4 linked regions of the Mytilus edulis genome follow. The protein of the gene in region 2 purifies or fractionates together with the protein of the main gene of each other region. This does not show direct contact. Links are inferred from orthologs where the notes say so. Each region holds a gene or a part of one and is shown on either strand. Other genes may lie near its edges.

The links.
Region 1: the proteins of DIS3-like exonuclease 1 (region 2) and eukaryotic translation initiation factor 4E type 2-like purify together in Homo sapiens (affinity purification with mass spectrometry; 3 studies listed by BioGRID and IntAct, with this or other methods). This does not show direct contact. The link is inferred for Mytilus edulis from reciprocal best matches to the Homo sapiens genes DIS3L and EIF4E2.
Region 3: the proteins of DIS3-like exonuclease 1 (region 2) and GRB10-interacting GYF protein 2-like purify together in Homo sapiens (affinity purification with mass spectrometry; 3 studies listed by BioGRID and IntAct, with this or other methods). This does not show direct contact. The link is inferred for Mytilus edulis from reciprocal best matches to the Homo sapiens genes DIS3L and GIGYF2.
Region 4: the proteins of DIS3-like exonuclease 1 (region 2) and M-phase phosphoprotein 6-like purify together in Homo sapiens (affinity purification with mass spectrometry; 3 studies listed by BioGRID and IntAct, with this or other methods). This does not show direct contact. The link is inferred for Mytilus edulis from reciprocal best matches to the Homo sapiens genes DIS3L and MPHOSPH6.

What each region holds. Positions count from the first base shown.
Region 1 is NC_092346.1:52,327,105-52,334,702, reverse strand, and holds the start of eukaryotic translation initiation factor 4E type 2-like, read right to left. Parts: upstream 2,998-7,598; 5' UTR 2,871-2,997; coding exon 2,851-2,870; intron 2,783-2,850; exon of another isoform or gene 2,661-2,782; coding exon of another isoform or gene 2,653-2,660; intron 380-2,652; coding exon 286-379; intron 1-285. Other genes in the region: mediator of RNA polymerase II transcription subunit 4-like, read left to right, coding at 2,998-3,065. UniProt on the Homo sapiens protein: Recognizes and binds the 7-methylguanosine-containing mRNA cap during an early step in the initiation. Acts as a repressor of translation initiation.
Region 2 is NC_092344.1:93,297,087-93,304,826, reverse strand, and holds the start of DIS3-like exonuclease 1, read right to left. Parts: upstream 3,027-7,740; 5' UTR 2,975-3,026; intron 1,596-2,974; 5' UTR 1,561-1,595; coding exon 1,398-1,560; intron 812-1,397; coding exon 678-811; intron 1-677. UniProt on the Homo sapiens protein: Catalytic component of the RNA exosome complex which has 3'->5' exoribonuclease activity and participates in a multitude of cellular RNA processing and degradation events.
Region 3 is NC_092356.1:18,049,396-18,056,512, forward strand, and holds the start of GRB10-interacting GYF protein 2-like, read right to left. Parts: upstream 3,012-7,117; 5' UTR 2,904-3,011; intron 1,541-2,903; 5' UTR 1,530-1,540; coding exon 1,498-1,529; intron 792-1,497; coding exon 566-791; intron 135-565; coding exon 23-134; intron 1-22. UniProt on the Homo sapiens protein: Key component of the 4EHP-GYF2 complex, a multiprotein complex that acts as a repressor of translation initiation. In the 4EHP-GYF2 complex, acts as a factor that bridges EIF4E2 to ZFP36/TTP, linking translation repression with mRNA decay.
Region 4 is NC_092348.1:50,101,075-50,108,189, reverse strand, and holds the start of M-phase phosphoprotein 6-like, read right to left. Parts: upstream 3,012-7,115; 5' UTR 2,936-3,011; coding exon 2,879-2,935; intron 1-2,878. UniProt on the Homo sapiens protein: RNA-binding protein that associates with the RNA exosome complex. Involved in the 3'-processing of the 7S pre-RNA to the mature 5.8S rRNA and play a role in recruiting the RNA exosome complex to pre-rRNA; this function may include C1D.

The sequences.
Region 1 (7,598 bases), on a different chromosome or scaffold from region 2:
ACTATGCATACATATACTTAATAAAATGTACTGAAACTGGATAAAAAAAAAATTATGACACAAATCATTTAAAAAAAAAAGTCAAAAAATTTCTTTCTGTTCAATTGAGTTTTTGTTTGTTTGTTTAAAACAATTTACTAATGTTGTTTAGCTGGACATTTTTTTTTAAGAAGAGACCATAATCTGATTTGTCTCTCTTTATAAAATATAAATTTTATCAAATTGTCAAAATGTAACCATGGTAACATTCCAATCGTTGTCATAAACTATCTTTTGAAGACTTACTGGTGAAGGTCGAACTTTAAATGGAGAATCTGTTTCTTCTTGTTCATTTTTCTGTTCTGTTTGATCATCCTCACCGCTATCCTCTTGTTTTAATCTACAATAAACAAATTAAGTCAAAATGGAAAGCCACCACTCATGTATCATACTTTTACTATGTATTTCAAAATCAGTTTCTAAACACAAATATGGCATAACTACAATACATCTCAACAAAAGACTGTAACAAAATTGACAAAAGTGCATTCAGAAATAAATAAGCCTGCTGTTGATATATATATCTACACTCATCCTTTATACATTTGTACTTGACATGCTCAGCCTCTTTATAATGATACATGTAGTAAGTTGGAGTTGAAATTGTTAGTGTAATTATACACCTTATCGCTATTTGTCCGCCATTACTGGATATCACACAGGTTCCCGTAAATTTTTGACGTCACAAAAACAAAATATCTGACGCCACAATGGAAAAGTGATTGTTGTATGCGTCAAAAGTTCAAGCGGCCGGGTCAGCCGGGATAAGCGATAAGGTGTATTCACCCACTGACAAAAATGTAAGATCCATTAACTGGTGTTATTCCAAAAAATACAAGATTGACTCACCACATATCAATGTTAAAGCCCATAATTGAGAATGTGATTGTCCTATGTAAAATATTTGTGTTTTTTTTCTTAGTAGATATAGGAAGATGTACATGTGGTGTGAGTGCCAATGAGACAACTCTCCATCCAAATAACAATTAAAAAAAAGTAAACCATTATAAGTCTCGTATATATTATAACAATTTGTTTTGATGGCATATCTTTGATAGTTTCTTTTTATAAATTTATTCACAGCTTAAAAAATAAAAACTTGGCATTGGGCTATTAATGCTATGGTTGATCACTGTACAGAGATCTCTAGGTGTTGATTATTTTTGTCGCTAGGTTGCGGTCTAATTGCTATCTACTCCGCATCTCTAAATTATTTAGATAAGTTAAATTTATTTCATTAACACTTTTGCTGCACTAGGGAAATATGTTATCTATAGATGTCCTTTGTCGACAGACCATTCTACATGTTCTAAAGACATATAGAGTGGGGTGCTCATTTTCGCCACATCTTTCCATGTTTTCTACAGTTTATGTTCAGGTCTAAATGTTTTTGAAGTATACTGATATTTCTATATGCAGATAACTTCAAATGCAAAATAAACTTAAGCTTGAACATGTTGAAAACCGGTTTGTTTTTAAAAAATCATCTGAAAAGTTAGATTAAAGGGTGTTTGAAATTTCCGGATGTTTTGTCAATGGGGGACACATATTCGCCGTTTTTACACATCTATTTAAAACCAAATAACCGCAGCTTTTAACAATTTTTATCAAATCAATTGCATTATAGATGAACAGCAGACATTTCAAAGGTATAAAGAATTCAAAATTAGGGCATTCAGTCAAATATTTACTTAGAAATACTTCTTTGAAATCGTGTTTTATTCAGGAAATATAAATTGTCCGAAAATCGTTGTCCGTTTTTCGGTCATTTTCGGTAGGAGCCGCAATTTTGTCTCAGTTTAAAAAAATATTATATTTGTTATAAAAATATAATTTACGGGTACATTTCTTCCATTTCAGCCATCCTTTGAAGTTTTTACACCTCAAAATCATTAAACGGCGAAATTGTGTCCCCGGCGAAAACGAGCACCCCACTCTATGTATGCTTCATTTGTATATACATGTATGACAAAGAAAGTTTTCAAGCTATAAACAAAAGAATTATTTCAAACTTGTACTACTTGAATAATTATACTTATAGCATATTATATATGTATAATTCATCTGAAATTGAATACAAACGATGTGTTGTCATACAATGTCATAGTGACAGATATGACATCTCAAAATTTTTAAAATGTTTTCTAAAATATTCATCGCGACATGAAACACACAACATTAATTCTGAAATGCACTTTATGGTGACACAGGCATAATTAATGACACAATGTATCATGCAAAACTTTAGTCCAAATAATTATGACGTCTTGAAAGGCTATTATATTATTTTTATTTGACGCCTTACTTCGACAAACTTGGGCTTGTTGTACATTGTACATGTCTGACAAAGCACTGGATTTATCTCAGCTTGAAAGGCTGTCCTACAATTTCATTCATTGTAACAGTAATGTAAATGTACAGTGCTAGCTTATCAGGATACTGTAAAGTCTAGGTCTGGTCTAAACAGCTGTTGACACATATTTTTGATTCAAAGTTGACTTTTTTTTTTTAAATTATACACACGAAGAAACAAAAGTACCATGGTCGGATTTTATGATACCTTAAAGAAAAATAATAATTGCAGTTTTCATTAGTTTCGCTAATAAATGTAACCTGTTCATCTTGGACTTGGTGACTATTCATAAGTTGCACGTGTTTGGGCAAATTGATGACGTCAAAATTATGCCTTTTGCCGAACAAAAATTGACCCTACGGAAAAATGTGTCAATGGATTGGCTAGGTGTCATGCGATTTACTTAAAGATCTTTAAATATAATTGGTCAATTATGAATGTATGCATGTTTTACGTACGCATCAAATTTGTTGTTCATGATGAGTTTGTTTTGATTTTATTGACATTCACTTCCGGTTTCCTTTTCTTGTATGTGAAAGTGTATTCGATTGGTTCATAAATGTTTCCTACTCTATCAGCATAATTTATTGGTCGAATAATTCAGCATGGCTTCCTCCATCAGCACCAAACAAAAACTTTTACAACAAATTGATGATGTTGAGTTGATATCTAAGTAATTTCACTAATAGTATTACTGTCATTTCACATATTTGAAACACCAAATGAAATGCATGGTCTAGACCATATAAAAATGACAACTTTAGTTTTTTTTCCTACCCAACTTGTGAAACCTGGAAAACTGCCATGACTGTTATTGTCTTTTCTGTCTGCACTAATTATATTAAAACAATAAAAGTGGAGGGGAAAAAGTGAAAGGGTTACCAATTTTAACAAGGATATTGCTGATCTTTATTATATAAATCCTTGATTTTACCACATACTGTAGACATTTAATTATTTTATTTACTAATCAGATGTTGTGAAGGATGCAGGTCGTTTTGTAGTCCTAATAATTATGACGTCTTGAAAGGCTATTATATTTTTTTTCTTTGACGGTTTCGTAACTAGTCGATTCCTAACTTACTAGGTTGTTTAGTACCTGTGATGTTTTGTAACCTAAGAAAACTGTTATATCAATATGTAGGACTCTAAAGTGCGATGGGGACGCTTAAGTGCGATGGTCACGCTAAAGTACGATGGTGTACGCTAAAGTGCGATGCCATGACACGATAAAGTGCATTTTTCCATGAATGCGTGTTTGTTCGCGAAAGTGTGAATGTTTGCATTATGACGCTTGAAGCCAATTTGAACATACAAAAATTGACATGCCGGTAAACAAGAATATTTGTGGCTCCCTATGAAGGTTTTTTACAAGACAAAAAAAAAGAGATATAAATGAAACAAAACACTTTTAGTAGGTGATATAGAAGACTGTATGCAGAGGATTTTTTTCCAACAAAATCACCCACCGTACAAAACCTTTCAACTCGCTGTGTTTTCCCATCAACATAGAAAACTGATGACAGTAAGGGGAAGGTGCTTACCGTAAAAGAGAGAAAAAGTCAAAATACACCAAGTGTCAAAGTATTTCAATTCGTTCAAATTTAATTTAGAAACTCCTTCTATGTTTATAATCGAACTTGCTTGGAATAAAAGCTACTTTTTAAATTTCTAATTGAGTTATTCTATAACCTGAATATTTTTGTACAATATGTATTGTCATGTCTGTGAAAGAGATGGATATTCATCAACAAGATAGTGACATACCAAGCAGTTATGAAGTATCATCATATGATTGCCGATGACACAAGTCTAGATCTAAACTGGAATCGTATGGCTAACCCAGCAGATAAATAGTAGATTTATGACTAAAGGTTTTCAGAACGACCATTGCAAAATAATTGATATGAGAAAAATAACGGACTGATTTATACAGAAAAAAATCAATTAACAAACAAAAAAACAAATAAGAAGATGCCAATGAAACAATTATTCACCAAACACAAAATGTTGCAGATGTGCGCACTTAATAACTTATGATCCAAGGCGTGGAGTATCGGCTCTAGTCGAATAGCTAGTTATATAAACCACACAATAACTCGTGTACAACAATTCAAAAGAGAAAAACAACGGCATAATTTATAAACAATATACAAAAACTAATATTAACACCGCAAAAAACAAAAGACATTGCCTGAACACCATTCCAGTTACACCATCGCACTTTAGCGTGGCATACCATCGCACTTTAGCATGTCATCTGATCTCATTTAAAAACAAACAACCATTGCACTTTAGCGTCTGACACCAATGCACTTTAGCGTAGACCATCGCACTTTAGCGTGACCATCGTACTTTAGAGTACCATCGCACTTTAGAGTCCTACAAATATATAATAATATGAGTCGTAGGTTACTAAAAAAATAATGAAAAGACCTATTGATGTACATATATATCTATATTTATTTATTAAATAATTGATTGCACATAATTTTACACTTTACAATTACAGTTTTGCACACATGCGATAGAACAGAAGAATTTAAATTGTCCATCATTTAGATGTACCCCGTCTTTGTCAAAGTATTTAGTCTTCTGCCACGTGCTTTGATGTCTCCAATACTTACACCACTCATCTTTATGTTGCCGACTTTCTTATATTAATATTTTTTTTTCTATCATAAGTTGTTTCTTTCATGTTTCTTGTTTTTTGTATATGGACCAACTGCTGCTGCTGCTCTGGTCAACTAAGACTTGTTTCATGTTTATACCAGGGTTTTTCAGATGAAAAATAAGGCTTTATGCCAGTATAACATGCAATCAAAGAACAACATAGTGATGTCTCTGAGAGAAAGTAAAAGGAATAGAGTAAAATAAGAGTTATAAAAAAATCAAATAAAAACTTTAACTCCGTCAACGCCGGTCCCAAGTCTGGGTGAAAAAGGAGGAGGGTTATGCATTGGCATGTTAAAGTGAGAAAAAAGTAGAAAATAATTATTTTTAGGTCGTGTGCCATAGGTCATGTGTCATTAATCAACTTAATCACTTTACACGTACCATAATTACTTTTTATTAACTGTCATTAGTTGTCATAAAAACATTAAAGCTGTCACTGAGCGTACCAATTAACCAATAATTTAAAAGATTTAAGAAAGTTTTAAATTAAAAACATTACAATATTGTTATTATTGGATGAACAATTTGATCATTTATAAATAATAACTTTAACTGTTTCATTTAAGGAGGTACCTAACACTTTAACTAAAATTAATTTGGCTCGTTTAATTTTCTTTAAATTTTGACAAAGTGTTTACTTTGACCCTTTGACAAAAATATAAGAAATTCAAAAAATTTGAACCAACCGTTTAATCAGAAAAATTACACTGGTTATATAGCAGTTTGACAAACACTTATTTTGATCAATGAGAAGCTTAATATTCCCATATGAACGCAACGTCATTAAAACGTTCTGCTGATTTTACAGAGTTATCTCCCTTTAGTGTTAGGTACCACCTTAAATTAATTAATTTAAACTAACACTTTATAACCACACCAGGTACAAAACATCTCAGTTACAAATCAACGTAGTTACGAATCGACCAGGTACGAAACGACCAGGTTATAGAACGACATGCATTTGTTGTGAACTTCCTTATTTATAAATCAATTGGGTCCGAGCGGGTAAAATCTTACATGGGGTTCACAACAAGTATTTGTCTCATTAAACAATTACCACAACTTTACACGGCAGTTACGTTTTTATGCAAACAACATGTAACAATACAATACTTTATTATCAATACATAATAAATATACAACACAGTTTATTCACACAATAATACGTGAATAAATAATAACCAATGAACAACCAACGTGTATGTGTTTGAATTGCCGATTGCGCTATATTTGAAATGGGAAACTACGATCTATAAATAGGGCAAAGTATATATTTAGAACCTGATGCGGAGATCAGTAAAATAGTGTGTAAAATATATGCTGTTTACCTTTTATAAAATACTAGAACACACCCGCGAAATCGCGGGGAAATAGAGCGTATGTAAACTGTAAAAAAAATATACTGACTGGAGAATTTCAGGAGAGGTATCAAAATTCAAATGTACTTAGGGACTGGGCACATTTTTTTGCCCTCCTCCTATTTTCCAAATACCGATTTTTATACCTTCTGTTTTTCTGTACTCTATGAACATGCATATATATATACTTTAATTACTCAATACAGAGAATTTCAGGAGAGGTATCAAAAGTCAAAGGTACTTATATACATCAGTGAACGCCATGAATAGTAAAGAGTCCCCCCCCCACAAGATAACCATTGGAATTTATAGTAAATTATAACAAATACAGTAATTTATAGTAAATGTATGTAAGTATATAGAAATATATCCGCAGTGACCGCCGTTGATAGTAAACCATAGGCGGATCCCAGGGGGAGGGGGGATGGGGGGCCCTGCCCCCCTTTCGTTGGAAAAAAATTGTTAATTATATGGGGAAGCATGAGAGTAACGCCCCCCCCTTTTATGTCAGTCAGCGCCCCCTCCCTTATGAAAAGTTCTGGATCCGCCACTGTAAACTAATTGATAGTAAATAGCAAATATTATTCATTTTCGTTTTCCTCCCAATATAACCCAAACCGAAACACGTTAAGCAAGGATGATACATGCTAGTACTCAAAATGATAGCAGAAAGCAAATACATATACTTTATTTCATAGTCTTTGTATGTTCGAAGTACAGAAAAACACAAAACGGAAGTCTAATCTGACTTAAAGATTTGTTCAATGACGGGAAAATATCCGGACGCATTCTTTTTCGTTTTTTATCCCAAATAACCCAAACTTAATGATCATAACAATGGATGACAAATGCGACTATACATGTTACCTATAGGACACAGAGGCATGATGATTAATTTATTGTGAAAGGAGGAGAAGCGACACCAAAAATGAGGTCTTCTCGTTTAATAGTATAGATGAAACAAATTAACCTATTAATCTTCTTATTCTGCAACGTGTACATGAAACAGCTTCCCACTTCAAAACTATAAAAACAATTGCTGGGCGGAAGTTGACGTCAACAATTAGAAAGTGAAAGAACAGGAATAAATATAACGTTACGTTGTGTAAATTGTACTTTTAAAACAATAGACATAGTGACATAGTCATAGGCTTTTGTTCTGTTGTTTGGCA
Region 2 (7,740 bases):
ATTGTTATCATGATGTGTAATAATGAAAGTAATACCCAAGACAAGGTAGGTGTTTTTAAGGAGATTTTGGGTAAAAGTCAATGAAACAACAATCAAACATCACAATCAAAATTCAAGACAGATAAAGATATTGGAAGTCCATTTTATACAAAGTATAAGATTGATCAGAAGAATATTTTTGGACAAAAAAGGTACAAAATCTGTAAATCTGAATTCCTTGAATGTCATAAATGTGTATTGAAACAAATGCAATTTCACAAACAAGTCTTTGTACAATTTGGAAATTAGTATGGCGTTCATTATCACTGGACTAGTATATATTTGTTTAGGGGCCAGCTGAAGGACGCCTCCGGGTGCGGGAGTTTCTCGCTACATTGAAGACCTGTTGGTGACCCTCTGCTGTTGTTTTTTATTTGGTCGGGTTGTTGTCTCTTTGACACATTCCCCATTTCCATTCTCAATTTTATTTATATGATCAATGAAAGTATATCAATGATGCTTGTATAGTCAAACAAAAAAACTGCACAAATAACATAGTTACAGTATAAAATAAATTACAGTATGAGAAAAAGAGCGTTTGTAAACAAAGAGCTTAAACATTGATTACCATTTATTTCAAACAAATGCTAAAGAATTGTCAAAGTTCAATTATTTTCAAAAAATATTTCTAAACTTACACAGTGTTCAGCTGTCTGTGTAAAGATTATTCCATGAATTTCTGGTGCTTCAAAAACTTCAAGGTATTCTCTGGCAACTTGACAATCTGGGATTATATAGTGTGTCACGTTTGAAGGTAGCAAATCAGAGTCATCTGCAAAGAGTTCCCAGTTTTGTTTACATTAATAGCATGATTAATATTAAACTAAATATGATTATAGGTTTTAATCAAGTATCAAATTCTTTTAAGTTTTAGGTACTTAAATCTGTTTGAAGACCATACCAGGCTGCATTGCCATTTCCCAATAAAATAATATCTACAGAGATTTTTTAAAGTGTAACATAAATATAAAAAAAATTCTATGCAGAATATGACTACATGCATGACATGTAAAGCAACTATATATATATATATATGCTTAAGACAATACAATATGAAACAGCAAAAGTATCAATCAATTTTCAGTATTCACCATGCAAAACTTTATCCAAGATTATGCAATTCAATTAAAATAATGAAAAGTAGAGACAAAAAAACCCTTCATTTTAGCTGTAAGACACAATAGTGGTACATGTGTACTAATAAATCTTATCAGGCAATAAAGAAGCAACATACAAAACCACAATCTCATTTTATTTTTATAATCACAGTTTGTCTGAAAAGATTTACATATATGTAAGATATTTTCATCTCCCTCATCAATACCTTTGATTTGTTTACCATTTATTTAAAATCTCACCTATTCCCACATTGCAATTTCCAAGACATAAACTACTCTGACATGGTATATTTTCTCTCCTATAGACTTCTCTTACAATACTGACACTCTTCCCCTGGCTGTTCTTCAACCTCAAATAACGATTGTCTTTATCTAGAGACTCTGCTTTATTTTCTATGACCATTTTTAGGCTGTCTACATTATCAAATTAACTTTATCCTGAAGAACAAAAATAAAATATGAAAAACCTTTTATTATTTAGAACTATCTTGTTGACCTGAAATTCATTTGTTCAGGATAATCATTGTTAGCTGAGATAATCTTTTATTTCAAAATACCCTTGAACATTGAATTATTTCATGATGTGACAAAAGGATAATTCAAAATCGAAGAAACCAAGAAAATTTGATGTCACAATTAAGTTATGTAATGACCAATCAATTGCAGAGAACAGATATTTCACTAGTGAGGAGAAATATTTTTCTCACACTGCTCAAGAAATGTGAAAAAAGCATGAAAAATAGAGAAATCAAATTGCTTCAAAGCACTGAACCGTAAAGATTGCTTTAATTTATCAGTGGGAAGTAAAAATAAATATTGCATTGGTTGTTGTTGATTTAAAACAGCTATTCTAGACAAAGGAAGATGACTCCAATTTTTAAAGATGATGTTAACAATGACATAATTTATATTTTTAGAACAGATTTTAGATTCCTGCACCTTGCAAACGTTATGTAATTTTCTTGACAAGTGAAACATCATTTTGTGTCTTGAATATCTGAGCATATATCTCGTGGATAAATTTCTGGAAATGTTCATGATTTATAGTATTTATAGAATGTTATGGTTAATGCACTATATTTTGTGTACATGTATCAAAAAAAGCAGTCTTCACGCTGAGTGGCAGCCCAGGGCCTGTAGATTTAGCAGTTCATCGTGAAGACTGAAAAAGTGATCAATTTTGGAACATTTAGATATCAAGTCAGTCCCATATTATGCAATTTTTACCTTAAAACAATAGATCAAAGGAAAATGCTGTCAAATATGTATGAAAACATGTGAGTCACATTTGTGAGTCTTACGCTAACTGTATGAGACTTGATGTATCTGTTTTTCTTTATTGTTGTCTTGTCAATAATTGGGCATTTGGTTTCCTTGTCTTACATGTACATGTCTTATGATATGCTTAGAGCTTTTGATAAAAATGGAGGTTGTATGGCAGCACACATGTACATGTACAGTGATCTACAGTTCATGTGGACTCTGGTGGATAGTTGTCTCAGAGCCAGAGGCAATCATCTCGTGAACATCTCCTTCTTTTCAGTTTAACCATAGCAAGTTAGATGATAGTATAATATAGGCGTATCAATTTGTGAAGCATATAATTTCAGATATGGTTACTTTTAAGTACTGGCACTTGTTTGTTTTCTTAAGATTTTAAAGGGCCAAAAGTAAAGAGGGTCTTTACCATCACATGAAACAAGTGCCTGTGCTTTTGTCTTGAACCTGAAACTAAAGAATCAAATAGTTCACTTTAGTTGTTTAACCTCCTCCTTCTGGTTAATACTACAATGCATATGCAATATGACTATACTCACTTTAAAAAAAAAAACTTTGGGGTACATTTTGTGCATAGGGGACAGAAATGTCAGTTTTGTTTTGTTAATACAAGATTTGTTGCGCGGATGTTTACTCCTTCACGGGAGCACTCTATTCGAAGAAACCAAAGTGGTATTTAATCATGAAATTGATATTAGGGACCAGTAATTATTTATCTTCAGTGGGGCGGCAAAAAAGTAGTGGGTAATGAGAAAATTAGATCTGATAAAGGGGGGTCATTCTTTTTCAGGTTGCTCAAGTAAGGGGGGGGGGGGGGGTCATAATTTGTTTGGCCATATATGCATTGATCGCCATATACCATGACCATAGACTATTAATGAATAGTTGTTTGGGCCCTTTAGAGCTAACTTGTCTAGTTTAACTCTTTCACAAATGTCAAACTGTCACTATCAGTAAAACTAGTCACTTTACTTTACTATTTTACTTTACTCTTTGACGGAGCTAGTTATATTGTCAAGTGACTAATAAATATTGCCAAAAAATGTGCAAAATTAGTCAATTTTCTTATATTTTTCTGAGATGTTATAGGACTAAGAAACTAGGAATAGAGACTACAAAATTGGTTTCATAATCCTGGTTTCACCACAGCAAACATAGACTTTGCTTTTTTGAAGGGGACCCCATTTTTATGTTTCAAGATGAACTCGTATATTTTACAAACTGTTGTTTTAGGTGAACACAAAATATTCTATATAGACTTTTTCAAAGCATTTTCTTCTTATTCTTATTCCGTATCTCAAATATACCTCATGTAGAATATAAATAAATATATGAATGATTTGTTCATTGTCGAAGACCCTCCGTCTTCTACCAGAGTGGAAGGCAACAGTTTTGAAATGAATCACTTAATTTATACAAGAAATTATTGAAAGACCAGGACTGGCTTCATTTCAGCTGGGAACAGTATATATATGTTCCTGATTTCAGCATCTCTAATTTTGAATAAGACATCTGACATTCTATATGAATACAATTAAAAGTAATGCTCAGTATATCAAACAAAGTTCAAATTTTTACTCTTTAAAACTGTAAATGACAAAATCATAATCAAATACTAGTAAACAACTTAAACTCCAATTAGTGTTGAGTTTGACGAGATGGTGCATATGTAGTAAAGAGAGGAGGGTTTAACTTTTTTAACACATTTTGAAAAGGGGCAATCATATTTTATCCTTTCAAATTTAATTACATTTTGCCGCCCCCTCCCCCTGGAGATAAATAATGACCGGTCCCTTATGTAGGTGTGATAATGAAAAAAAAAAAAAAAAATGAAAGCAACACGCTTAATAATTTCTTGCGTCCGAAGCGCTTTTCTGGATTTACCTTCATCAGAAACGCTCAAAGTCAAACATTTGAAATCCGAAGATGTACAAGTAACGAAACCGTTGAAGAGCTATATGTCAAAATTACCTAAAATAAATAGCCAATTCATCTAAAGCAAACTTTGCCTGAGGGATTTGAAACCTTAATTTCTTAAGAATTTCAAAATTTATAAACGGACAATTTTAGTAAAGTTCATTGGCGGATCCAGGGGGAGGGGGGTGTCCGGGGGTTGGAACCCCTCTTTTTTGGACGATCAATGCATTTGAATGGGAGCATATAGTTGGAACCCCTCCTTTACTCTGGGTTGGGAACCCCCCTACCCCCCTTTTTAAAATGGCTGGATCCGCCACTGAAGTTTGTTCAATCATGTCAGTACCGAAATTATAGACAGTTCTCATATTTAAAAGATTTTTTTTTATATCTAAAAGTGTTAATGAACTTTGCATGTTAAGCCCCTTGTTCAGGGCTATCGGAGAAGATGCAAAGTAGCACAACATTATTAGCTCACCTGTCAGCTTAAATTCTCATTACTTGGCGTCCGTCGTCTGTCGTCCGTCGTCTTCCGTCGTCCGTCGTCCTCCGTCACTTTTACAAAAATCGAACTGCTATAGGCCAAGTTAAACCAAACTTGGCCACAATCATCATATGGTCGATTTGTCCGATGTCGCCGACAGATAATCAAGATGGCCGACATGGCTAAAAATAGAACAACAGGGATAAAATGCAATTTATCTTGCTTATTTTTTTGAAAACAGATATGAATAGAGAAAATCTGAAGAGGTCATAAATGTTTAGAACGTTGGGCTCTACATTCTATTTATTTGTGTCAAAACTGTCAGACGAATTCTTGTCATGTTGTAGGAAGTATCGCCTTTAGATGATGAATTTGTTTTATTTTTTTTTGGCTATTATCTCGAAAATTGCAATAGATCGATATAGACAGGCACTTTGAAAAACAAAAATGATCAGCAAGACAAGACTTACAAATAATTCAACACGGCCAAAATATATAAGTCACTCCTTATTAGAGGATTGTCCTATAATGACGACTTTACACATTTTTTGTTTTGTGTTTTTGCATAATATCTTAAAAACAATATCAAATAGATAAATACTTTAAATAGCAAAAATTATCAGCAGTAATAGATCTGTAGATAAGTCAACATGACCCCAATTGATAGTCGTTTCTCTATTTGAATTATTGACCTTTAAAAATGATTTTCTAATTTTTGCCTATTATCTTGAAAACTGTATTAGATAGATAGAAACATTGAATAAGACAAATGATCAGCAAGACAGGATCCACAAATAATTAAGCCATAATTTTATAGCCGAAGTCATCCGTCGACTCATCAATGGAGTTATTGTCCTTTTATGATAATTTTGTTTGTATTTTTTGCGTATTATCTTGAAATCTATAATAGGATAATCAAAACTTTATATCAGAAAATTACCAGCTGGATAAGGTTGACAGATATGTCAACATGAGCAGAAGAACCTTTATAAATTCATTTCCATTTTATGTTTGCTTTTGTATGCTTTGATTTGTTTATGATTTACCGTGCTTTCATAACAGTATAGATCATAATCTTATGCTTGCTGTGCTTTTATTACAGTATAGATCATTAAGTTATGCTTGCTGTGCTTTCTGTTTTTTTATGTCTGCCCTGTGTTTATTATATGTATGCCTGTTTAAAAATAAATCTTGAGGATACAGAGCTTACTATTTTGTACTGTTATATTCATACCAGACTTTAAATGAATCTTTTGTGTATATGAGGCAAGGGTTATAATCGAAAACTTAGACGTTTCTTCATTTTTATAACTCGTGATCGGACTTTTAAATTTAAGTGGGCTATCACTCAAAGTTGCGAATAGCGAGCTCAAATCATATTTACATCGAGTATTCATTTAAAAGTAATAAGTAAAATAATAAAAATACTGAACTCTGAACACGAAAAATTCAAAACGGAAAGTCCATGTTCAAATGTCAAAATCAAAAGATCAAACACATCAATCGAATAGACAACAACTGTCATATTCCTGACTTAGTACAGGCATTTTCTTAAGTAGAAAATGGTGGATTAAACCTGATTTTATATCTAGCTAAACCTCTCGTTTGTATGATAGTCGCATTCCATTCCACTATGTTGTCAACGATGTGTGAACAAAACAAACAGACATAATTAAGGTAGCACAATACACAGATTTTATACCTCCAATTCACCAGTTTTAAAATGCTGTAACTTTCTTTATAATGGTTGGAAATTTATAAAAGTGGTATTTATGAATAGCTAACAGATTAGTCTTTCAAATTAATGCATTTGTTAGTATTATACAACAATTATGTAATCAATTATAATGTTAACTGTGTCTACAAAATGTTACAAGAAATTTCCACTTTCAATTGAAATTAGCTTCTTCATGGATATCCCGGGAGGGTTGATTTTATCATATGTTGTTCCTAGAGCCATTATCTAAAAAAGAGTGTCTCAGATTTTGGATAGAATGTATAGATCACATTTTACACCTAATCAAATATTATCTACTTTTATGTGGTAAGGATGATTACACTAATTAGAGATTTATGAGAGAATGGAATATTTTAGCCATAATTTGAAACACCCTTTTGTAGCTCCTGTTGTTTTGATTAAGATTTCGTTAAAATTTCCTGAATAGTTATAGAGATGATAGAGCTAAATTCATTCAAGTAAACTGACCAAGATTTTGCCATTAATTGTATAATAATTGATTACATATTGATTGCATAACAAAAATATTGCATTTCTTTTTAACGATTAACCTTTTTCTGTCTATATATATACCTCCTTTATTAATTTATATGCAGTCTTTAGAAAGTAACAGCATTTTAAAGGTTGGAGATTGGACGTAAAAAAATCTTTGTATTGTGCTACATTGATAGGTGAAAATATCAAAAATAGGGGTACAGCAGTCAACGTTTTCTTGTTAAAACAAGAATGTGTCCTAAGTAAACGGAGGCCCCATCCGAACTATCATTTTCTATGTTCATTGGACCGTGAAAATGGGGTAAAACCTCTAATTTGGCATTAAAATTAGAAAGATCATATCATAAGGAACAGGTGTACTAAGTTTCAAGTTGATTGGACTTCAACTTCATCAAAAACTACCTCGACCAAAAACTTTAACCTGAAGTGGGACGAACGGACGGACAGACGGACGGACGAACGAACAGACGGAAGCACAGATCAGAAAACATAATGCCCATAAATGGGGCATAAAAATGAATTTCTATCGGTTTCTCTTCTTTTTTTCAAACTTGAGCTGGACAGTTATTTAAATCAATGATTTTCCTACAAATAAATTGTTTTTCCTTCTTTCCAAGCACTATTCATACTTTTTTTTTATATGACAAGCCTGTGAACATGGAATCTTTAATCGG
Region 3 (7,117 bases), on a different chromosome or scaffold from region 2:
ATTAAGTTGATAAAATTTTTACCTCGTCCTCTGCCTCTCTCTATACCGCCTCTTCCACCCCTGACTCCAGGAGGCCCCCCTCGTCCAAACATTCTTAGTACTGCAGTACTGTTAACAGACTGAGACATTAACCGCTGAAAAAAAGCAATAAATAAACGGCTTAAAACTATTGCCTGTAATTTAAAAAAAAATCAAAGAAAGAAGCATAATGAATTTTGTAATTTGTTTAATTTACAAATTGAAGAAAATGGCAGTGACAGTCTTCATGATAAACTTTTGCAGACACAGGTCCAACACAAATTTTTTGATTCAATAAGTCTGTATTAATACTTTTTACGTATGGGAAAGTAATTTTATAAGCCTTAGATGGAGGGACTGTGTATAAGTGTGATAAAATATTTCTGGCATTTATTCTGAAATGATAATTTATTGTCATGATATTATGGATGTGAATTTTGACACAAACAGATTAGCTTTGTAAACACTATAGAGATATTTTTTTCCTCAAAACATGGAAACAAATATAAATAAGATTGAAATGATGCTACAGCAAAAAAATATGTACCTGCTCTTCCTCTGATAGAGACTGCATGGTGATGGGCTCCTGTGGCTTTTCGACATATATATATGTGAATTTCTTTATTTCTTCTAGGGGCTCTGTGTGGTTTGGATTGTTGAGGGCTAGCATTTCTTCTTTGCCATAACGGTAATCTGCTAGCTTGTACTTTCCAATAATTCCCGGTGAAGGGGGCGGAGTGCCAGGATTGTTTCCATCTGATAGGGCTCTGAGCCTGGATTAGGGAAAGGTTAACAACTTGTACATTAAATGTATTTTCATCAAAATGCATTTTTACAAGATATACAAATAGTGGACATTTTGCAAAATGCAAAAACTGCCCCCCCCCCTTTTAAAGTAACGTTTTAGTTCTTCCTGGTACCTTTTTCCATTTCAAACCCAAGGGAAAAAAATGGTTTTGGTAAAAAAAATATATGAATATATGAAAATTATTGTAATTGTATTGCTTCAACCATGATGTTCTTGTTCCTGTCTATATTAAAATTTCTGAAAAATGTAAGTTTACTAGCTGAACTTAAAATTGTTATTTCATCTTTTTGGGTCACTTGGTTACCATTACCATGGTTACTGTCTAAATGATGTATATGCATTCTCAAATATGGTTCTATGTTTAGAGCTATCTCTTGCAGATATTACATGTACAACTACTCAGCTAGCCTAATTATTCAATCTTTCTTCTGGAAATTAGAAATGAAAAAACAAACTGAAAAAAATTGTTTATTGTCTTTTTTTTATCAAAATGTTTTAATTACAGTAATGTGATTCGAATTCATGTCTCAGAAATTTAAGACTTAAAATTTCAGACAGATTGTGGCTTACAGTGCAGCTCCTTTCTAAAACAATTTCCTGACATGTAAAGTGCAAAACCTTTTTTTGTTAAACATATATATAAAAATAATAAAGTAAGATTTTTTACTTACCACTCAGGACCAAAATTCAATGTATCTGCCATTTCTATTTAACCTACAAAATATATATGAAAAAAAACATTTAAACTACAAATGTTTTGGACAATACCCTTGCAATTATGTAGCCTGGCATATGTGCAATAGGGTGCCTCATAGATAAAACATAGGATAAAAACATCCAATTTTAAAATGGAAAACAACCTCCTCAAAAGTCAAATGAAGACAAAAATATTTTGAGCCAGAGCAACCTCCTTAGCCATGCTGAATTTTAGAATGTCTGTTGGAAGCAAAAAAAAAACAAAATTCATCAGTTAATATTAAAATTGATCTAAAAAAGTTATTGTATTTTTAATACTGAAGATCCATTTTTCATTCTTAATGTTAAATTTGTGCCACTGAAGAACTGGAACATGACTTTATCTGAGTCACAATTTTGGTTGTTTTCAGTTACATCAATTCATTTGTAATTCCTGTCATGCAATTTTCTTATGATTGACAATTTGTGAAAGTTTTTATTTGTTTTCAGTAGTTTAACTGTTTAATGCTTGCTAACAAATATACAATTTTGTGCTCCATAACTAAATTACATTTTTCTTGTAAGGAAGGCAGGGGCAAATCTAGCTGCGGAACCATAGCTTGAAGGTCCGCAGACAGTCAAAAAATAAAAAAGGACCTAAGTGTTCAGTTACGCAGCTAGGGCTAACCCAGTGGTTTTTAAAGAGGGATTACCAAAATCATTGGATCCCCCCTTCCAGTGGAAGCTAGTGGGTTAGTTCCAGGAATAATCTGGAAGAAATCGTTTTTTGACAATGACACATAAATTATCGCAACTGTTTGCGGACTCGTAGGAACCCTTTTAGGTTTTTGATGGTAGTGTATACACCTTATCTCTAATCCCGGCTGACCCAATCGCTTGAACTTTTGACGCATACAACAATCACTTTTCCATTATGGCTTCAGATATTTTGTTTTATGACGTCAAAATTTTACGGGAACCTGTGTGATATCCAGCAATGGCGGACAAATAGCGATAAGGTGTATTGCATTTGGGACAAGTTTGATCTGTTTACTTATAAGGCGATGGAATGGACAGTATGGGAAATTTATGAATAAACACATGTGGTGTTCCATTTTACATGGCCTGGAGTTGTAGAAGAAGAGTCCAATATATAACATTTATACATATCAGAGCGTTACAAGAAGTTTCGTTATCCGTGTTTCTAAAAATAGCTACACGAATAACAGAAAAAACATATTTTCCACATTTTTTACCATCCTCGCGATTTTAGCAGACAGTCACAGTTCATGAGAATTTGCAATTAAAATACGTCATTTTAGAGGTGACAAAGGCCTCGATTTGGTGTAAATATGTGTACCACAGATGCTTGTGCGTCTAAACCAGTGCACTGCAAGTTTACCTTTGCTATTTTCTAACTTTCTTATTAGCTTGAACACGAATGCAGTAACCAATATGGCCGTAGTTGTGTATTATGTACCACGTGATAATTGTAAAACGGAAATCGAAGTAACGCATGAAAGTCAATGAAGCGGAAAAACTGTGTCACCACAATGGTCGCACTTGTTTTATATCAAATGGAATACGCCAAAACACTTGTTAAGAGTGTGCTTGGTCAGTTACTGCGTTATATTTTTACAATTACTTGGTATCTTCCATCCGTTTCGTGTAGTTTCAAACAAGTTGTTTTCGTGTTTTCCTGTATAAGACCTCAATAGCGGTTATTGAAACAAAATGTCCTGTCCTTGTGTAGAAATATCCAGAGTGACATTTATACATTACTTTTTAATATGTCTTTGATTCATCGCGGTTTACGTGGAAAACTAAAATCATCGCGTTTTTCATAGATCCAAGTTTGAAGTTGTGCATCTATGTTAATTTTAAACTGGACAGATACAAAATTCTTTACGGTTTATTTTTCTTCGCCTTGTACAATAACCATGCGCATTCTTTAAAAGTAGGATATACATATGTATCATAAAAATGACCTGACAGTGTCAGTGTTGATTATATTGAAAATATAACAAGTGGCATTTTATGTAATAAAACCACGATTGACCGATATGGCTCATTCTTTTAGGTGATCACCAAATTAACCAACTGGGCCCTTCTTATATACCGTCCGAGTATGAGGGTGTGGATGGGGTTAAAAGAATCGACAATAATGGACAAAAGTGTTGAAGTAGTTAACAAATTGAATACGATAGTCACCCTCAATCTCAGATAATGAACAATGAGCGCATAAGCTATCTTCCCTAATCAGGGGTACTAAGGGATCATTTATTTCCCCTTTTTTGTAGCGCCTCGGCTTCTATACGAAGTTGGGGGCACTAAATCTAACTGTTTGGTTATAATATTACACTGTCTAAAATCCAAGATCATTAAATAGGATACTTTTCGAAAGCTAGTTTTTAATCTATAAAATAGAATAATATACAAGAACCCGATTCTTTTTGGTTTTAAGAGTCAATTTTTTTTTTGCCAATCTCTCTCAGGAATTTTGTAGCATAGTTATACTAGTATTCTAAACGTTTCCTTGCCGCAATTTAAAAAAAAAATGCCCTGTATATATACCTTTAGCTTATACAAGCACTTGCGCAGAAGTATACCATAAACATATATCTTTTATCCTGTTTTAAAAGTTTATATTCTGCATTAATGCTGACTCAAACAACCTGCTTGGTTTTGCGTCACAAACTAAGGGAGAAAAAACCTGCCAATAGCATCTTGTCAATTGCAGAGGATTTTAAATACCATCTTGTTCCTAGAAATTGTAGCAGCACAGTCATAGCACAATTTATAAGAAAAAAAACATCTGATAGAATCACGTTATATCAATATGTCAATAAACAACCACGACGTCCTGGGGAACACTGTTTAAAATTAAGTTGCTTTGTATTCTTAGCTACTAAGCTACTGAATTATACTTATTACCGATTTGAAATTACATTAACATGACGGGTACAGCATGTGAAGATCTCCTTAAACTTCCGGGATCAACACCGGTTTTTGGCGGCCTAAGTGTTGCTCTAAATTGTTTATGACTATGTTGTATTTTGTATACTATTGTTTGTCTTTTTGGTCGTTTTATCTTTTCTTTTGCAGAGGCGGATTTAGGGGGGGGAGCAGTGGGCCCGCCCCCCCCTTTTTGGGGAAAAAATAGGTTGCTTATATAGGGAATCACTGAAGCGTGACTGGAGCGGGCCCCCTCTTAGGTCAGTCAGTGGGCCCCCACTTATGAAAATTTCTGGATCCGCCACTGTTTTGCCATTGCGTTATAAGTTTAGTTTCAACTTCAGAGTTTGAATATCCCTTTAGTACTCTTTGCCTCTTTGTCTTTTGTTGTGTTGTTTGTTTTTCTTTTGGTCATGGTGCTGTCGTCTTCCTTCGGCTTACGGTTCATGGTTTTCCCATTGTTATAACGTTGCAATTCTTGTTTTCAGCAGTTTGATCATAACAGTGATGGAATGAGAAAAACAATCCCGTACGCGTCTTGCAATAACTCGATGAGGTAATTATCACTGAATAATTCAGAAATTGGTGATTATGTAGAGCGCATCTATCCCATAGAACTGGAGAATAGAGATAAAGAATACAACAGATGCAGTTAGTCTACCTCATAAATTGACTTACATCTAGAAATTTCAAAACCATCAAGTTCGGTTGAACACACAACTGTGCGATAAAAGAGATGATGTCAGCTTCCCAATTGTGAACTTTCCATTTCTATATAGTAACGTTCCAGCAGTCTGCATACGCAGTACAATGTATATATCTATCTCTCAATTGATACGATATTTCCGGGCTTGTATTTGCTATCCTGATTTCCTTGATAGAGGGTGGCTGCTTACAAGACAGCTATTAAACCAAAAGTTCCAAATGGTGAAGTTGAAATCACCCTTTGTAAATTTTGCTTCGCCATCGCGAAATGCATGGTTGACCGTTATTGAATATCCGTTTCACAGATGATATCGGATATGTTCCTGATGGCGTAACTACAATCCTGTTCCCTTTTCACGAATGTGACCTACCGAAAAAGATGTTTAACAGAGTTTGTAATAACATGTCTAAGCAATTCTACGGGTGCCACATTTGGAGCAGGATCTGCTTACCCTTCTGGGGAACCTGAGATCACCCCTAGTTTTTGGTGGGGTTCGTGATGTCATTAGTTTTCTATGTTGTGTCTTGTGTCTTGTGTCCTTTTATTTGTCTGTTGGTCTTTTTCTATTTTGGCCATGTCGTTTTTAGTTTATTTTCGATCTATGAGTTTGAAAGTGCCTCTGGTATATTTCGCCCCTCTTTGATAACATTTTATAATACAGATAGTGTTTGTTACGTTTTCTTTTAAAAAAAAACACCACATTTATGAGAATAGCGTAAAATTTATTAATTACAAAATTTTATATCTGCAAAGTCTGTATTAAAATACAAAAGTTTATAATTTTTATGTTTTTTGTTTTTATTTGTGGGTTTGATAAAACTAATAATACTTACGTGAAACAGAATACTTTATTTTAAAACTTCACTGTGATTTTAGCTGGGATTAATACATAAATCTAATGGTCCAAGGTATTAAGTATACATGTATTTCCTTAGCATTATTTTTGGTTTAATAGTAAAAACAATACTTAAAAATAATGTTTATATCCCAAGCATTTTTAATAATTCATGCCAATCAAAAGGTAAGTTCTCCTCCGCTCTGTGAAAGTTGAAATCTGGGACCGTTGCGTTAGAACAAAAACAGTAAAAATAGTTTATTTTACTAAAAAATAAAAAAAAAAAATAAAAAAAGTAAACATTTTTTTAAATTTGAATAGCAAACAGTTTGTTCTTGGGGACAAATACTCAGATCCTTAAAGCGTCAATGAAATTTGCACAATTGCTCTGTCTTTGTGAGCGCGGTTTTCTGTGATAATTATGACAATCTTTTTTTTTTATACTTTTATCTAAAAAATATAAAAACAAGTATCGTATGATGATTGTCAATGAGACAAACTCCAACAAAAGACCAATCGACGTATCTAAAAAAAAATGCATCTCAAATGCATTTTAGGCAAATCAATTGCTAATTTAACCATTAATCAGGCAGTCATTTCTGTAGAAAGCAGTTATTTCATTATCTGACCAATTGACTTTTAAAAAATTGTGTATCAAAATGCATATATGGTAATTAATTATTAATTACTCAAATAATCAGACAGTCTGTCCAGCAGAAACAGTTATATTTCATTTTGGACGTCTACTCTCGCCATCACATTTCAACACTTATACCTTTTGGAATAATAAGTACTAATGGCTTAATTGCAATAAAAACAAATTTCTAAATTAAGTAAGTACAGGTATTAAATTCTAAAAGACGTGTATATTACAATTAGCGATAAAAGCTCTCCATGTGATGACAGTAATATAGGTATTAATTGACAAGTATATAGACGTCCGTTGTTTGTAATGAAGCCACGCCCGGTTAATTCTCCTGGGGTGAAACGGTGGCAATACTCACAAGGCAGGTATATTTATACAGCAATTTACAGGTAAAGCCATAAATCACGACCACACGTGCCATAAGTCGGAAATAATAAAAATTGAGCAAATTGGTTTCATTTTGTGCCATATGAT
Region 4 (7,115 bases), on a different chromosome or scaffold from region 2:
GATAATGTTTGCAAGATAAATTATTTTAATCATAAACTTTGGATATAATTATTTAGTTTTAAGATACAGTCATGCATTTTTATGCCCCACCTACGATAGTAGAGGGGCATTATGTTTTCTGGTCTGTGCGTCCGTTCGTCCGTCTGTCCGTCCGTTCGTTCGTCTGTCCCGCTTCAGGTTAAAGTTTTTGGTCAAGGTAGTTTTTGATGAAGTTGAAGTCCAATCGACTTTAAACTTAGTATACATGTTCCCTATGATATGATCTTTTAAATTTTAATGCCAAATTAGAGGGTTTACCCCAATTTCACGGTCCACTGACATAGAAAATGATAGTGCGAGTGGGGCATTCGTGTACTGGGGACACATTCTTGTTACTTATAATATAAATTGGAATTAATTTGTCAATTTCATTAAAATTACTTGGTTGACAGGTATAAAAGGGCGCTTCAGTGATTCCCTATGTAATCAACCATATTTGAAATAATTGACAGTAAGTAGTCAGTAGTAAGAATTTGATAGTACATGTACTTGGCTAATGTAAACTCTGCAACTCTATAAATAAGAGAAATATAATTATTACTGTGAACTGCAAACACTCGACTCATAAAATACCTTAATATAAGGGTTTGGATGGGGTTAAATGATTACAGAATAATGCCCTTAAAAAATGAAGATTAGAGAATAACGGGCAAAAAAAATGAAGATTAGAGAAAAAAGGGGTGAAAATTAAATGTTTACAGAATAACAGACCCCCCCCCCCCCCCCCCCCCCCCCCCCCCCCCAATCCTGACCCTCTTAAATTTTACGGGAACCTGTGTGATATCCAGCAATGGCGGACAAATAGCGATAAGGTGTATTGTATTGTAACTACATGTATATGTAAAAAAAATGTTTGTATCTATGTATCTATGCAAATCAATATTCTTTTTCCTTATTCATGTATGCTCTGTATGCCCCTATGGGCCCTTAATTGGAAATAAAATATGTTCTGTTCTGTTCTATACAAACCTGGTACTCCCATTTTTTTAAAAATTTCCACTTAATTCTTTTTAAGTAAAAAGCAGTGTTCTAGGATTCCCATTACCCGTTACCCGGGGTAAGTGGATTAGGACAACGGGTAAGTCATTTTTTAGCCTTTGTCACCCGGTGGTAAGTCAATTTTCAAGTTCGGGGAAGCTGAAAAACTCTTGAAATTTCCCGGTCCTCTTCAATTTTCCCATATCTGCTTTTTATTTTTATTAAATCACGAGAAAAAACTTTGATAAAAGATCGAAGATTTTGTCGATGTCTATCGGCGCTTTTATTCAAGCACTCGTTTACTAGGTGTAATCAAGCGCAAAAGAGACCACATTCTTCTCCTATCATTCTAAAAGTCGGTCACGGTGTCGGTAAAATCGGAAAATCCGGATTGATAACTGGTGCTTAAATCGGGACATAAACAATTTTTTTTCTTGTCATCGGAGGAAAATAAACTTACAGTTGCATTTATTATAGCTCTTAATAAATGACATAGTAATAACTATAACATATTTGTCAAATTTAGTAAGAAATCGTTTTTTTTGCGCCGTCCGCATTGGTTGGCGGATTTAACTTTTAGATGTGGGTAAGTAATTTTTTTATGGCACTGGCTACGGTTACATGGAAATGTAACAATAATAAAAATATTATTGTTACATTGGAGACTAATTGCCGGAATGCAAAGTTGGGTGAGGAACCGATTAATTACAAATGTAACAATAATTACTGAGGCTACGGTTACATTACGTTATTGTTACATGAAAAACAGAAATGTACGCTAGATTGATTAAACTTAAATCTTCTATAGTTGTTACGTTATTGCTTCATTCTTTCATATGTACAAAACAATACTTGTAATTTAATACTGATAAATAATAAAATATTATTATTCAACAAATGGTGTACAACTTGAATAGTTTTACTACGTATTAATGGTTTTGATGTTCTTAAAGATACTACTCAAGATTATAGGAGTGTGACTGTCAAAGGTGAAAAATATAGTTCAATGGTTTCACTTTTTTAAAGTATTTAACTGCATACCTACTCTTATTACTGTCATTATACTTTGGACCAATTTTGTTTATGGTGAAAAAAATAAAACTTGGGATGCGTTTTAAACGAAACTGAAACTGAATATCAAGACATACATTTCATACAGCTTTATAACTTGACGCAAATTGATAATCAAAAGCAAAGTTTGCTAACTGTAACTTAAATACTAAGAAATTCTGTATGTATCCGTGGAGGACGTAATTTCGTTCATCAATAATGTGTCGGACTTTAAAAACAACTTACTGAATTTGTAGAAATTGTCATTGTAAATAAAAAATTACAGTAAATAAATTGTATGTTATAAATGTATGTAATAAATGTCCTCAACTTTTATTATTTAGTACAAATTACTAGTCCCATCGTACATTGTTTTTTTCCCCCATGTAACAATAACGCAATGTAACCGTAGCCTCAATAATTATTGTTACATTCGTAATTAAACAGGTCCTTACCCAACCATGCATTCCGGCATTTAGTCTCCAATGTAACAATAATATTTTTATTATTGTTACATTTCCATGTAACCGTAGCCAGTGCCTTTTTTTATTGATCTTACCCGTGGTAAGTCAAGGTGCCAAAAAAATCCTAGAACACTGAAAAAGGGATAGGTTTTTCTTTAGTCATTTCTACAACAGCAATATAGGCCCTTGTCTAAGGACAATCTCTCTTTTAAGAGGTATTTCGATCTTTCTTCTTTTGTAGGAGAGGGGGGGAGGGGGTCCCAACCTGTTTAAAAGTTAAAACTATGGTATCACGGCACAAATGCTTGCTATGTAAGTATAGTACTAAAAAAGGACAATTGTGTTACCTTCATTTGCAAGACATTCTTAGACAAGTTACCCCTTTGTCCTGACCCCCCTGCCATGGCTGTTTATGCTTTTCCCTTTCAGCCTTCACATGTGGCGATGTGCGTCTTTTAGAACCGGAAGTTGATGAAGACATGTGGCCGAAACTGGGACGTTATCTCGGTCCTTAAAAACTTCGGTCCATTCACCGTGAAGTTTCGCAAATATCAGTCTTTTTGTAGGCAGTGGTTTTTTTGTTGGCTGTGATTAAAATTGGTTGCAAGATGAGGCGTGGGAGTTATTGAGCACATAACGGGATACAGTAAAACTTCTGGAAATGGTTCAACGAATGTGTTGCCAGCGCTGCAAAAATCAAGTTCTGATATTAAATTACTGACTTTTAATAACCCGTATCATGCAAACAACTGGTTTCAGAATAGAATAGATTAAAAAAGAATATCTTTATTTCCCAAATTACAGGTTCAATAAAAGGCATAGAATCAGCTTGACATAATTGATTTACAAGTGAAAATAAACATCACAGTATACATGTAAATGCAGTGTATTTAGAATATTAGCATGGTCAGAATCTGAGAGCCAACGACTATCTATATTATGAATACAAGTACACAATAAAATAATAAAATTACATTACAATCATTAATTCTCAAATTATTAACCAACTTAGTACCTGATCTCCTTTATTCAAAACACTCAGGCTCTCCAATATATCGATCAGCCCACTTTTTTTCCATAAGCCTGAGATATATTTTCTTGTGTCATGAGCATTCAAAATTTGGAGGACTTATTAAAGTTTTTAAAATTATAATACATTTTAGAAATATATTAAACCAAAATATTGTCTTTTGATAGGGCATTCCGATAAAAAATGAAGCTCATCCTCAACTTTACCATGTGAGCAATTTAAACAAAGACGCTATAATTTTTTTTAATAGTCTGTCCAAGGACGTATATATATAACTTACAATAATAATAATCTAATATACGTCCTTGGTCTGTCTTTCTCCATTCTTTAATATTTCTAATTTATCTTTTTTTTTAAATCCTGTAGTCAGTCTAAATATTTTTCTTTCAGTTTCAACTATCTTTTATGAAAATATGTCACCATGCTTCCCTCGGCAAGTTTTCAGTCTGAGTTAACTATGTGATACGTTTATAGTCTATTCCAAACTTTGGAATAAAGTGTATATAAAAGAAGATGTGGTATGATTGCCAATGAGACATCTCTCAACAAGAGACCGGGCCAAATCGTACAGAAATAATAGATTAATATACAAAAAAAAACTAAACGAAAAACAAATATGTAACACAGCAATAAACGACAGCCACTGAGTTACAGGCGCTTGACTTGACTTGGGACAGACACATACATACAACATGTGGTGGAGTTAAACTTATGTTAGCAGGATTTTGTTCCTCCCCTAACCTGTGACACTGGTGTAACAGAATATCATAAGAGCGTACTATAAAAATCATTGAAAAGGCTCAACTCATCAGATGGATACCAAAAGAAATATACCTAACAAAAACACATATATGGTGGACGTGACCGGGTACTTATTCATCCTAACAACAAAAAGACACTAAAGGAATTACCAGATCGATCTGAGAGTACTTGCACTGAGTTACTGACAGTTAGTTCAAAGTCAATAACAACTAATAAACAGAATCATGCATCCAAGACAAAATCTTATTTCTAACTGTTTATTTCCGATGCAAAGACCCTATGAGAAAATCAAAATTAACATCGAAGTATGCCATCTTTAATGACCATTCTATTTTCTTTATTCTTTCAAACCATTAAAGACGAACAAATTATCCTCTGATATTACTAAAACCACTACTACTGAAATCTCATCACAATACTCAGAGAAAGGCTGTTCCAGTTTGTGATTGTATGTGGAAAAACGATTGTTGGCGTATTTGTGTTCTGCAGGATGGAATTTGGTATGAGAGTGTATGCATATTCGAGCTGGCATATTCTGGGACTGTCTGAGCGGTTGAATTAGTCTGTATATTTTTGTGATTGCAATGAGATGTTAAGTGATTTTACAAAACAAGACCAGGCGTGCATCTGTTCTTCTGTGTGCGAGGTTTCTCCATTTTAAGTGATCTATCAGGTCACTAACGCGTGAGGTGTTTCTGTGTCGGTTAGTGACAAATCTAATAGCCTTTCTTTGTACTTTTTCTATTTCATTTATATCCTCAGTAAAGTAATGATCCCAGACTGAACAGGCATATTCTAGTGATAGTCTGACTAGAGATTTATATGCTGGCTGTTCCTTTACTTAGGTGGAATTGAAGTTATATGATTTTTTTCTGAGAAAATCTAGTGAACTGTTTGTCTTGTTACAGGTGGTGTTTATGTGACTATGTCGTTATAGGTCTGATTGAATGTATAATGAGTACAGTGAATTGTATGCGAATTTATTTTATTTCGCCTGATGGACATAACATTACACTTGTCAGGATGAAAAGCCATTTTCCTTGTATTTTTGCGTGCTAACTCCCCCAGGAGGGAGACGTGGCTTATGTTTGTCTGGTCCACTTGATTTTGATGGATTTAAATTAAAAGGTATTTTGGAGATACCTTGGATGGTTACATATTGATGTTTTGCAAGGCAGGGTAAGCTGTTTTCTGTTGCATGTACCAAGGATTTGTATAGTAAGAAGGTTCTTACTATACAAATCCTTGCATGTACTGATTGTTTTCAAATTCACGATAGCAGTGTTTTTGTTTGGTTCTGAGAAAACTGATTGAAACTGCCTGTTGAGTTCATCAGATTTCTGTTTTGTGTCTGTTACAAGTTCCCCTTTCTGCTTTAGTGATGTAATTCCGCTGTAGTCAGTTTTTTTGCTTATGCTATAAGACCAATTTTTTTTCATGTTGAAAATTTGTTATCATTTGTAAATAAAAAAAATTGGATGCAAATTGTATTACAATTTAAATACTAGTATAGGTTCTTTAGTTTTATTCAAAACGTAGTTAGTCCCAGCATACATTGAAGTGCATGAACGCAACAATAACACAATGTAACCGCAGACACAAATATTATTGTTACATTTGTAATTATTCAGCCCTGCATTCCAGCAATCAGTCCCCAATATAACAATAACTTTTTTTTTTATTGTTGAGGCTACATATCAATGTAACAATAGCCAGGCAGTGCCAATTATAAAAGGCACTGACTACGGTTACATGAAATGTAACAATAATAAAAATAATATTGTTACATTGGAGACTAATTGCCGGAATGCAAAGTTGGGTGAGGAACCGATTAATTACAAATGTAACAATAATTACTGAGGCTACGGTTACATTACGTTATTAATATTGTTACATGAAAAACAGCAATGTACGCTAGATTGATCAAACTTAAATCTTCTATAGTTGTATTGCTTAATTCTTTCATAATTATGTACTAAACAATACTTGTACTTTAATACTGATAAATAATAAAATATTATTATTCAACAAATGGTGTACAACTTGAATAGTTTTACTACGTATTAATGGTTTTGATGTTCTTAAGCAGGGGCGGATGCAGGAATTTTCGAAAGGGGGGTGCTAACCCAGGGCAAAGGGGGGGGGGTGCAAGGGGTGCAAAACATATGTCCCGATACAAATGCATTGATCGGCAAAAATAAAGGGGGGGTGCGCACCCCCGGAACCCCCCCCTGGATCCGCCACTGTTAAGGTACTACTCAAGATTAGGAGTGTGACTGTCAAAGGCGAAAAATATAGTTCAATGGTTTCACTTTTTTTTTTAAGGTATTTAACTGCACACCTACTCTTATTACTGTCATTATACTTTGGACCAATTTTGTTTATGGTGAAAAAAAAATAAAACTTGGGATGCGTTTTAAATGAAACTGAAACAATATCAAGACATACATTTCATACAGCTTTATAACTTGACGCAAATTGAAAATCAAAAGCAAAGTTTGCTAACTGTAACTTAAATACTAAGAAATTCTGTATGTACACGTATCCGTGGAGGACGTAATTTCGTTCATCAAAAATGTGTCGGACTTTAAAAACAACTTACTGGATTTGTAGAAATTGTCATTGTAAATAAAAAATTACAGTAAATAAATTGTATGTTATAAATGTATGTAATAAATGTCCTTAACTTTTATTATTTAGTACATATTACTAGTCCCATCGTACATTGCTTTTTTTCATGTAACAATAACGCAATGTAACCGTAGCCTCAATAATTATTGTTACATTCGTAA